Linked DNA regions of Arabidopsis thaliana. The protein of the gene in region 1 interacts with the protein of each later gene in a biochemical or structural test. Each region holds a gene or a part of one and is shown in the gene's direction. Other genes may lie near its edges.

Evidence for each region.
Region 2: the proteins of PHIP1 (region 1) and RAN2 form a complex in vitro, tested with the Arabidopsis thaliana proteins (one study listed by BioGRID).

The regions. Positions count from the first base shown.
Region 1 is NC_003074.8:20,513,573-20,518,759, forward strand, and holds PHIP1 (phragmoplastin interacting protein 1), read left to right. Parts: upstream 1-2,057; 5' UTR 2,058-2,099; coding exon 2,100-2,554; intron 2,555-2,640; coding exon 2,641-2,815; intron 2,816-3,003; coding exon 3,004-3,050; intron 3,051-3,143; coding exon 3,144-4,260; 3' UTR 4,261-4,487; downstream 4,488-5,187. Other genes in the region: PPL1 (PsbP-like protein 1), read right to left, coding at 459-559, 653-749, 865-936, 1,008-1,130, 1,209-1,291, 1,365-1,445, 1,568-1,703; AT3G55350 (PIF / Ping-Pong family of plant transposase), read left to right, coding at 4,946-5,135. UniProt on the Arabidopsis thaliana protein: RNA-binding protein which mediates polarized mRNA (e.g. Ran2 transcripts mRNA) transport from the nucleus to the vicinity of the cell plate during cytokinesis and phragmoplast formation.
Region 2 is NC_003076.8:6,760,879-6,765,493, forward strand, and holds RAN2 (RAS-related GTP-binding nuclear protein 2), read left to right. Parts: upstream 1-1,690; 5' UTR 1,691-1,938; coding exon 1,939-1,941; intron 1,942-2,067; coding exon 2,068-2,137; intron 2,138-2,477; coding exon 2,478-2,534; intron 2,535-2,615; coding exon 2,616-2,733; intron 2,734-3,085; coding exon 3,086-3,503; 3' UTR 3,504-3,805; downstream 3,806-4,615. Other genes in the region: RAN-1 (RAS-related nuclear protein-1), read left to right, coding at 76-193, 452-869; AT5G20030 (Plant Tudor-like RNA-binding protein), read right to left, coding at 4,093-4,615. UniProt on the Arabidopsis thaliana protein: GTP-binding protein involved in nucleocytoplasmic transport. Required for the import of protein into the nucleus and also for RNA export. Involved in chromatin condensation and control of cell cycle.

The DNA.
Region 1 (5,187 bases):
TTTTTCTTTTAATTATTTTCCAATAATTTTGGTGAGATTTTTTATAATAATTTGTGTTGCCGTTGCAGTGTACTGTGCCGTCACCTACCGTAACACAAGAGCTGGTTCTGCTAACGGACACAGCGACTTCGAGTTTGCATATTTTTTATATATTACTGGTGAGCTAATTCTTGACAGAGCATTTCGATTACTGACTTTCTCGTAGCTGTAACATGACACTTTATAAGCCCTTTCTGGTTAGTAGCTGAAGCTACAAAACTATGACTAGAGATCAAATTGACCAAACAAGATGAAGTTAGGTTAAAAGCAGAGAGAGAGGTAAGGAGGCAAGTCAAGAGTTATTGAATCTCTCTTACAGGAAAAGAATATTGTTAAGGGAAAGAGAGAAGAAGAATGGACAAAAATACAAGAAATGGGCAAAACAAGAGACAACCAAAGCAAACTTGATTACAGTATTTTCAAACAGTGATCTTGAAGGAATCTACCACAGTGTGAAGCCTATCTTTCATCTTCTCCCACCTCCTTTCATTCGCTCCCGTCGTCAGTGTGTAGAAGTTTCCTGCACAGCAAAACGCCATTTCTCGATGAGCATTGGATACTGCAGTCAGTGTGTATTAGATATGAATGTGAGAATTCATGGGGATGTATATACCGTTGAAAACCGTGATGGTACCCAGAGCATGGCGAGTGTAGTTTCTAGCTTGAACAGTGAACTCAAACTGATAATAAGTCTTCCCATCGACATCATGCTGCAGCACTCGAAACAAAAACCAAACAATCAAAACCACCCTCTCTCTCTCTCTTATTATTACATTCAAGAGCCTCCACTCAATTAGTCGAAAAAAGCTATCAAAAGGAGCAAACCTCTGATGCATCAATAAGGGTTGTTTTCTGATTTGGAGGTGCCAAAACTTTCTTTATCAGTGTTTCAGCTATCTGTAACCAAACCAAGTTCAATCATTAAAGAGAGTGAAAAACAACAACCAAACAAAAGAGAAGAACATTACCTGCTTGGGAGGGCCAAATTCTTTAATAGTCTGTTTGCTAGTTGGGACCAAATTCACACTAACACTTTCTAAAGGCTCAATCACATCTTTGTATACCTTATCTTGACCTTCAATCACAACTTCCTAAACACACATTCAAAACAATGAGACAAGACATTGTAATTGTTAAAAAGTGGGCAAAGAAGATCACAAAATTGATACCTGCCAACCAAATGGATAGAGAAACGCATAAGCATCTTTATTGTCAGAGACAGCAAGGAATCCTTTTTTGCTTTCTGCAGCAACTGAGCCATATCAAACATTTCAAAATTACACACAAAAATTGCAAAATTAGTGACAAACAAAAAGGGTACTTACATGATAATGGAGCTCTACTAAGCAATGAGATCCAAGGAGCAACAACACCAAATGTTACAATCAGACGTCTCTGACATTTATCTGAAAAAAACGAAATAAAAACACAAACTTTATAAAAGGGTTTGAAGAAAGATTCGTTTTTTCCTCAGAGAAGCAGAATATAGAGAGTAATTTGAATCGGAAACACGTAAGAAAAGACAAACCTTGAAGATGAGAAGAAGAAGACGAGGAATGGTGCTCTGCTTTTACAAGAAATGAAAGTCCTTTCTTAGAGGAAGGAATCACACCAACCTTAGAAATGGAGATTGGAGAAGAAGGTGAAAGCTTCAGAGAAGCCATTGGAGAAAAAGTGTAATATGTGGTATAGAGATAGATCTTTTGTTGTCTTCTCTTATGGATTCACTTCTTTCTCAGTTTATCCACTTTTGAAACTTCCTGACCTTTTAAAAATGTCAGAGAGACAAAAAAAACACTAATTTGCAAAAATGGCCCTTCAAAATAATAAATCTTTGCAAGATAACAAAAATGTAACCAAAACGCACAGTTTCAATGGGTGTTTTACATAAATATACAAATTAGGATGAACAGTTAAACATTTTGGGGCTCTTTGTTACAGTAGTAGACGTTTTATGAAAAGCCCATAATAAATCTGAAGCCCGGCCCATATGTAGGTGGTATCAAAATCATCCAATTAGGGTTTTATGTTTTTTGTTTTTGGCGGTCTCAGTGAAGAAGATGGTGCTGTCGAACAAGAAGCTGAAGCAGAGGATTCGACAAGATTTGGCTGAATCACTATCTGTCTCTGTATCCGAAACAAATCCACAATCTCAGTCTCTGAAATTGCTCCTTGATTCATCTAGCCACAAACCCAGATTGTCGAAGAGAGAGAAACGAAGAAATTGCGAAACTTTCGCTAGAGAAGACGACGAAATCAGAGAGAATGAAGTTGGGAATGGTGGGTCAAGCGAGAAGACTGATACGAAGATTAAAAAGAAGAGAAAGAGAGACGATGCTGTGGAAGTCGACGAGTTAGAAGGAGATGAAGGAACTAAGGAAGAGCAAAAACCCCAGAAGAAGAAAAATAAGAAGAAGAAGAAGAAGAGAAAGGTAAACAAAACGCCAAAGAAGGCTGAGGAAGGCAATGTAGAAGAGAAGGTGAAGGTAGAAGAGATTGAAGTTAATACAGACAAGTAAGTTTGTTTTAACCGACTTCATTTTAAAGCTCTGTTAGTTTCAATTTTATGTAAATTAATCGACTTGGTGTTTTGTTTTCCAGTAAAGAAGAAGATGGGGTTGTTCCTAACAAGTTATATGTTGGGGGTATTCCTTATCAGAGTACAGAAGATGAGATTCGTAGCTACTTTAGAAGCTGTGGAGTCATCATTAAAGTTGATTGCAAGATGCGTCCTGAAGATGGGGCTTTCAGTGGTATTGCCTTCATCACTTTTGACGTAAGTTTTTCCATGTAACGTTGCTGTGTTATGATGCAGCCTTTTGTTTTTGTAAGAACATAGATCGTTGTTGTTTTGGGATTAGACTTTAGAGTTAGTTTTTTGCCTTGGTGGCTGGAGATTAGAGACTGGTTAAATGGACTGTGTCATACACTGTGTTGATATTTTTTTTCGTTTCATTTATACAGACTGAAGATGGCGCAAAACGTGCTTTGGCTTTTGATAGAGCTGCTATGTAAGTAATCTATAGCTGTGACTCAAATATTTTAAGACTTTCCTTGGTCACATTTGATATTGGTTGAGTAATTTTTCTTTACTTTACTACTAGGGGTGATCGATATTTGACAATCCAGCAATACGTGAAAACCACCACCCCTTCCATTCCAAGAAGGAAAACATCTTCTGGTTTCGCTCCAGAAATGGTGGATGGCTATAACAGGGTATACATTGGGAATTTAGCCTGGGACACAACAGAGCGTGACATACGGAAGCTCTTCTCTGACTGCGTAATAAACTCTGTGCGGTTGGGTAAAAACAAAGAAACAGGAGAGTTTAAAGGGTATGCGCATGTGGATTTCAAGGATAGTGTGTCTGTGGCGATTGCGCTGAAGCTGGATCAGCAGGTTATTTGCGGAAGACCTGTCAAGATATGTTGTGCACTTAAAGACAGACCAGCTACTGATCATACACCTGGTGAAACGAACAATGCTGGTTCGTACAACATGGAAGATACTTATGCTGCTGCTGATCCAGTACCGGCTTTAGCTGGGCGTAGCGAAGTTGATGACGGAAACTACTTTGCAACTACGGTTAGCAGCAGTAAGGTCAAAAGGAGGGTCTGTTATGAGTGTGGAGAAAAGGGTCATCTTTCTACAGCCTGTCCCATAAAGCTTCAAAAGGCTGATGATCAGGCAAACTCAAAGCTGGGTCAAGAGACTGTTGATGGTAGACCGGCTATGCAAAGCTATGGTCTTCCAAAGAATAGTGGTGATTCTTACTACATGAATGAGACATACGCTTCTACAAATGAAACTTATAATGGAGGATACTCAGCATCTGCTGTTGGCACTGGTAAGGTCAAAAGGAGGAACTGTTATGAGTGTGGAGAAAAGGGTCATCTTTCTACAGCCTGTCCCATAAAGCTTCAAAACACTTCTCACACAAACTCAACGCTGGATCACCAAACTGTTGAGGCAGGACCGACTCAGGTAACAAGCTATAGTCTTCAAAAGAAAACAAGAGACACTGAAAACAATGGTGGTTCGTTCATGGATGAGAGCTATGCTACTGTTCCGATATCCATTGATGTGACAAATGGAGCTAATGATGCAAGCTTAACATCTGCGGTTAGCACTGGTAAGATCAAAAAGAGAAACTGTTACGAGTGCGGAGAAAAAGGTCATCTTTCTTCAGCTTGCCCTAACAAGCTGCAAAAACAAGGCTGATGATCCCACAAGCTCTACAAAGACAGCTTATACATTTTGTTCTTAAACTTTACATTTGAATCATTGGAGGAATATGGAAGGACGTGGACCACTTGGTAGAAGAGTGGAGTTTTGGTCCTCTTTTAGAAAACCATAAATTTTATTCTGTATTGTTTTATGATCTTTCATAGAATGCTCTAAAGTCTAAAAACCAAAAGTATCTTAATATATTGGATTATTATTTCTTGACGCTCCAATTCTCTCTTCTCTTCATATGTTGTTCTCCGACCATGATCTTAAAAATGTCGGCACAAACAGAGTGATAAAAGGTAACAAACGAAGATTCTTGACATTAGAAAAGACTGAGAATCCAATAGATTAAAGAGTAGATCAAATATATGCCTATTGCGGACTATAACAATTAGAAGATAAGCAATCCAATTATGCCTGTTACCAATCCGAACCTAGATAATTAAAGTTGGTCCAAAGGATCTTTAATTTCGAAAACCTTCTTTTGCAATTAATCATCAAAACAAGTGGCAAAAAAAAAGAAGCAATGGCCACGTTTTTTTTTTTTTTGAAAGTCGAAATCAAATCACATTACCCCAAATCTCTCTTCTTTGAACTTTAATCCTCTTCTCTATTGCATGCTTTAAGCTCCAAACCCAAAACGCAGGAAAATCTCTTTGACAGTTTTTGGTTTTAGATGGGACCAATCAAAACGATAAAGAAGAAGAAGAGAGCAGAGAAGAAGGTTGATCGGAACGTATTGCTTGCTGCTACTGCTGCTGCTACTTCCGCATCCGCCGCCGCTGCTCTTAATAACAACGACGACGACGACGACTCATCATCTCAGTCTTTGGATTGGTGGGATGGATTCTCTCGCCGTATTTATGGTATCTCTTTTTTTTTCCTACCTTTCTTGTTGGTGGTGATTTTTGCATTGGC
Region 2 (4,615 bases), on another chromosome or scaffold:
TGTGAATGTTCAGATTTCTGTTCTTCATGTCTCTTAAATGATTCTGATTTTGAGTCGTAATCTTGTTTGTTGCAGCTACTATTGGTGTGGAGGTTCATCCATTAGATTTCTTCACAAACTGTGGCAAGATCCGTTTTTACTGCTGGGACACTGCTGGACAAGAGAAATTTGGTGGCCTTAGGGATGGATACTAGTAAGTGTGGACCCTTTACTTTCTCATTGATAGGTTAGTGTCTAGAGTCAATCTAGAGTGTGCTTAGTTTGGATTAGCTCTGGTTAGGATTTGAAATTGGCAACCGATTAACCTGGACAATGGGTATAAGACTGGTATGTTTTGAAGTATGCATAGTTTGCAACTGATTTTGTTACCTGGACAAATAGAGTAGAACTTGAATTTTAATTTTGATATTCCATCTGGATGTATAGCTAATCATCTTTGAATTTCTTGCAGCATCCATGGTCAATGTGCTATAATAATGTTTGACGTCACAGCACGGCTCACATACAAGAATGTTCCGACATGGCACCGTGATCTCTGCAGGGTGTGTGAAAACATCCCGATTGTTCTGTGTGGGAACAAAGTTGATGTGAAGAACAGGCAAGTGAAGGCAAAGCAGGTTACATTCCACAGGAAGAAGAATCTGCAGTACTATGAGATATCAGCAAAGAGCAACTACAACTTTGAGAAGCCTTTCTTGTACCTTGCTAGAAAACTGGCTGGAGACCAAAACCTTCACTTTGTGGAGACACCAGCGCTTGCTCCACCAGAGGTTCACATTGACATTGCTGATCAGCAGAAGAACGAGGCCGAGCTCTTACAGGCTGCAGCTCAACCCCTCCCCGATGACGATGATGATATCTTTGAGTAAATCATCCTTCTAGAATGTCTGCCGTGGGAAGCTCTTGCTTGTTCCTTTTGGTTTTCTCTATGTTGTTTTGGTGTTACATATAAATCAATCGGTCTTTCTTATAACAAAAATTAGGTATGTATTTTTGGATGGTTCTTCTGATGGTATCCAAAGCTAAGTTGTTTCTTCGCAAGAATATTAGTTGATTGGAAAACTTTATTCTACCTCCTATTACTTGCCAGTTCTTAGATTTCAGATGCCACTCTTTAGCTACCAGGTGATGTCATATAAACCTGGGTAAAATTAGCTGCAAGTAGATCTTGTTGGGAGACCTGACCTGCATTGACAATGGTTAAGTTCTTTGCCTTCCCCGATCTCTCTAGCTTTGCAGATTCTTCTGCAATCCTCTTCCTTTTCTTCTTTGAAACTTGATCTTCTTAATCAATCCGCACCAGAACTTGTAGAATAATAATCGGATAACTTTTTGTTTGGCAACCATTCTTGCATTGAAGAATGAAGTAACCCTTTCCCTCAAATCAACGACCGATTTCAATCCGTGATTCCAGACATTTTCTTCAACCGTGAGCTCTAAGACCAATTTCTGCAAGTTTGAGCTTAAGAATTTATCGATGTGTATATTAATTTCTGGAAATATTGTTGGTATTAATATGTTACCATTAAATTTGAAAGGCATCATTAGATGGATGTCATGTGAGTGAGTACTTGAAATTTTGAAACTATCCGTTACGGACAATAAATCCTTATTTAAATGATTTGTTAGTAAAAAACTATGCTACAAATAAAATCAAAACTTCACATACGATACAGGAAATAAATATATTATTTATTTTGTCAAAACTCAAAACCAGGACCTAAAGCTGAAAAAAAAAAGATCCAACGGTGCAGAAAGCTGCGTAGATATTGGAGAGCCAAAAGATGGAATCTAACGGTGGAAAAAATAGCGTCAAACCTAAGCCAAAACCTCCCAAAATTCTCCTTATTAAAACCCCATCTCTCTCCCTAGTCCCTCTCGCCGCATCGCTTCTTAAACCTCGACGACATCAACGTCTGACTTCGCTTCTCCTCTCACATGGTGAACATTCTCTTCTCTTTTCCCGATTTCTTCGTCTTGTAGTATTTAGATCTCACGAGATCGCTTAATTTCGTTGATGTTTCTTTTTTCGGATTTTACTGAATTTTGTTGTGATATCTTGTTCAGGCTCTACCTAACCAACAAACCGTAGATTATCCTAGCTTCAAGCTCGTCATCGTTGGTGATGGAGGCACAGGTACAGTATTCTTCGCCGTGTTTTTTGACCTATTGTTTTTTGTGATCTCTGAAATTTGATCGTCTTTTCACTGTCCCCATCTGAAAGCATTCTCGTTTAAGAGACGGATTTGAGATTTTGATGATGTGCTGATTAGATTTGTACGATTGGTTTTTGATAATATCAATGTTTGATTGGTTTTAAAGAGAACCTTACAGACTAGGCCTTCGTTGAGCAGATCTTTGGGATATCGATTCTTAGATGATCCGGAATGTTGTTTTCATTGGCTCAGTTTTAGTATGGTTCAATGTTTTTGATTAGTTCTTGCTAAACCTATGATTGCTCTTGGTGTTTTGTACAGGGAAAACGACCTTTGTGAAGAGACATCTTACTGGGGAGTTTGAGAAGAAGTATGAACGTAAGTATAGCAAAGATGCTTGTGAATGCACAATTTCTGTGAACATCATCTGATGTTGAGTCCTAATCTTGTTTGTTGCAGCTACTATTGGTGTGGAGGTTCATCCTTTGGATTTCTTCACAAACTGCGGAAAGATCCGTTTTTACTGCTGGGATACTGCTGGACAAGAGAAATTTGGTGGCCTTAGGGATGGATACTAGTAAGTATACATATCTCCATTGATATGTTTGTGTGTATACTCAATCTAGAGTGTGTATAGTTTGGATTAGCTCTGGTTGGTTTGTGCGTAAAATTGGCAACCGATTTGTTACCTGGACGGTGGGAATAGGAATCGTATGTTGTTGAAGTAATCTGTTAAGATCTCAATATCTATTAAAGTTTGCATTGTTTTGATTAGCGCTGGTTAGGTTGTGAAATTCAAGAACCATCTCACATGTCATGTTTGCAACTATTGTTACCTGGACAATAGGAATAGCTGACTGGGACTTGAATGATAATGGTTTGTTTGATATTCCATCTGGATATATTGCTAATCTTCGGTTTTCTTGCAGCATCCATGGTCAATGTGCGATAATAATGTTTGACGTCACAGCAAGGCTCACATACAAGAATGTTCCGACATGGCATCGTGATCTTTGCAGGGTGTGTGAAAACATCCCGATTGTTCTGTGTGGAAACAAAGTCGATGTGAAGAACAGGCAAGTGAAGGCAAAGCAAGTCACATTCCACAGGAAGAAGAATCTGCAGTACTATGAGATATCAGCAAAGAGCAACTACAACTTCGAGAAGCCTTTCTTGTACCTTGCTAGGAAACTGGCTGGAGACCAGAACCTTCACTTTGTGGAGTCACCAGCTCTTGCTCCACCAGAGGTTCACCTTGACATTGCTGCTCAGCAGCAGAATGAGGCCGATCTTGCAGCTGCTGCAGCTCAGCCTCTCCCCGATGATGATGATGACGCATTTGAGTAAAATCTTCCAAAAATGTCTGCTGTGGTTTTCCTCTATGATGTTTTTTGAGTTGATGTTACATATAAATCAATCGGTCTATTTTAGAACCAAAATTGGGGGAATTATTTGGATTGTTCTGTTTTTTGGGACCCAAAGAGAATTTGCAGTCAAGTTTTTTCTGCCTTAAAGAATATGCGGTTATTGGAAAACTTTGATTCTACCCACTTTTCTTTTACTTTGCCAGTTGCAACATTTTAGATTTTGTAACTATTGTAGCTACTTGGTCATATGAATCAAACATAAAAGGAGAATATTTAGCTGTGCTACTTGAAATTGTTAGTTTAATCACTAGTGTTTCAATTACGTACACAAATCTTCTCATCTCCTTTTTTATGTATAGCTTTTAGGCCATGGCATGAATCATATATACATTGCTAGTCTTCCTCAAGTCCAACGCAAAGATAAAAGAGTAAAGATGATCAAATTTTCTTTCACAAGTTTGGAATTAAATCAAAAAACCTGAATGAAAAATAAAATGACATTTGTACAATCTACACTCAGTTTTTATTCTATGTAACACAAACTGTAGTTCTCAATGCTGCTGCTGCTGCTATCTGTATATAGTACTGTTATCGTCAGAGATAAGGTTTCTTATCTGCATCAGATGTTCCTCATTCGAAATGTTCAATTTGAGACGGAGATTTGTAATCCACGTTTCTTGTTCCCATGTTATGATTGGTCCGGATGCGTGCAATCTCTCGATACTGCTTCGGTATGCATCCAGCTCTAACCTATGAACATCAGCAGCCTCTGAGCCTTTTCTTGGAACCACCAACTTCTTGACCTTCCCGTAGCCACAAGACGATGACTCTGTGTCACTAGAGTTACCGGTTTCAATGGGATTGAATGAAACAGCACTGAGACCATCAGTATCCATGCAACAACTACCAACAGAAGAAGCAACACTCTCTCTATCTTCTTCTTCTTCTTTCACTTCTTCACGAAACCTTGGAGGATAAGCAGCTAAAGCTCTAGTTTGATTGTGAGGTTCAACCAAAGAGTAAGTCCGTTTCTTTAGACCTACTGACAAAGGTACATCAGACTCATCAAGCTTGTCTTTGCTCTCAGATGAA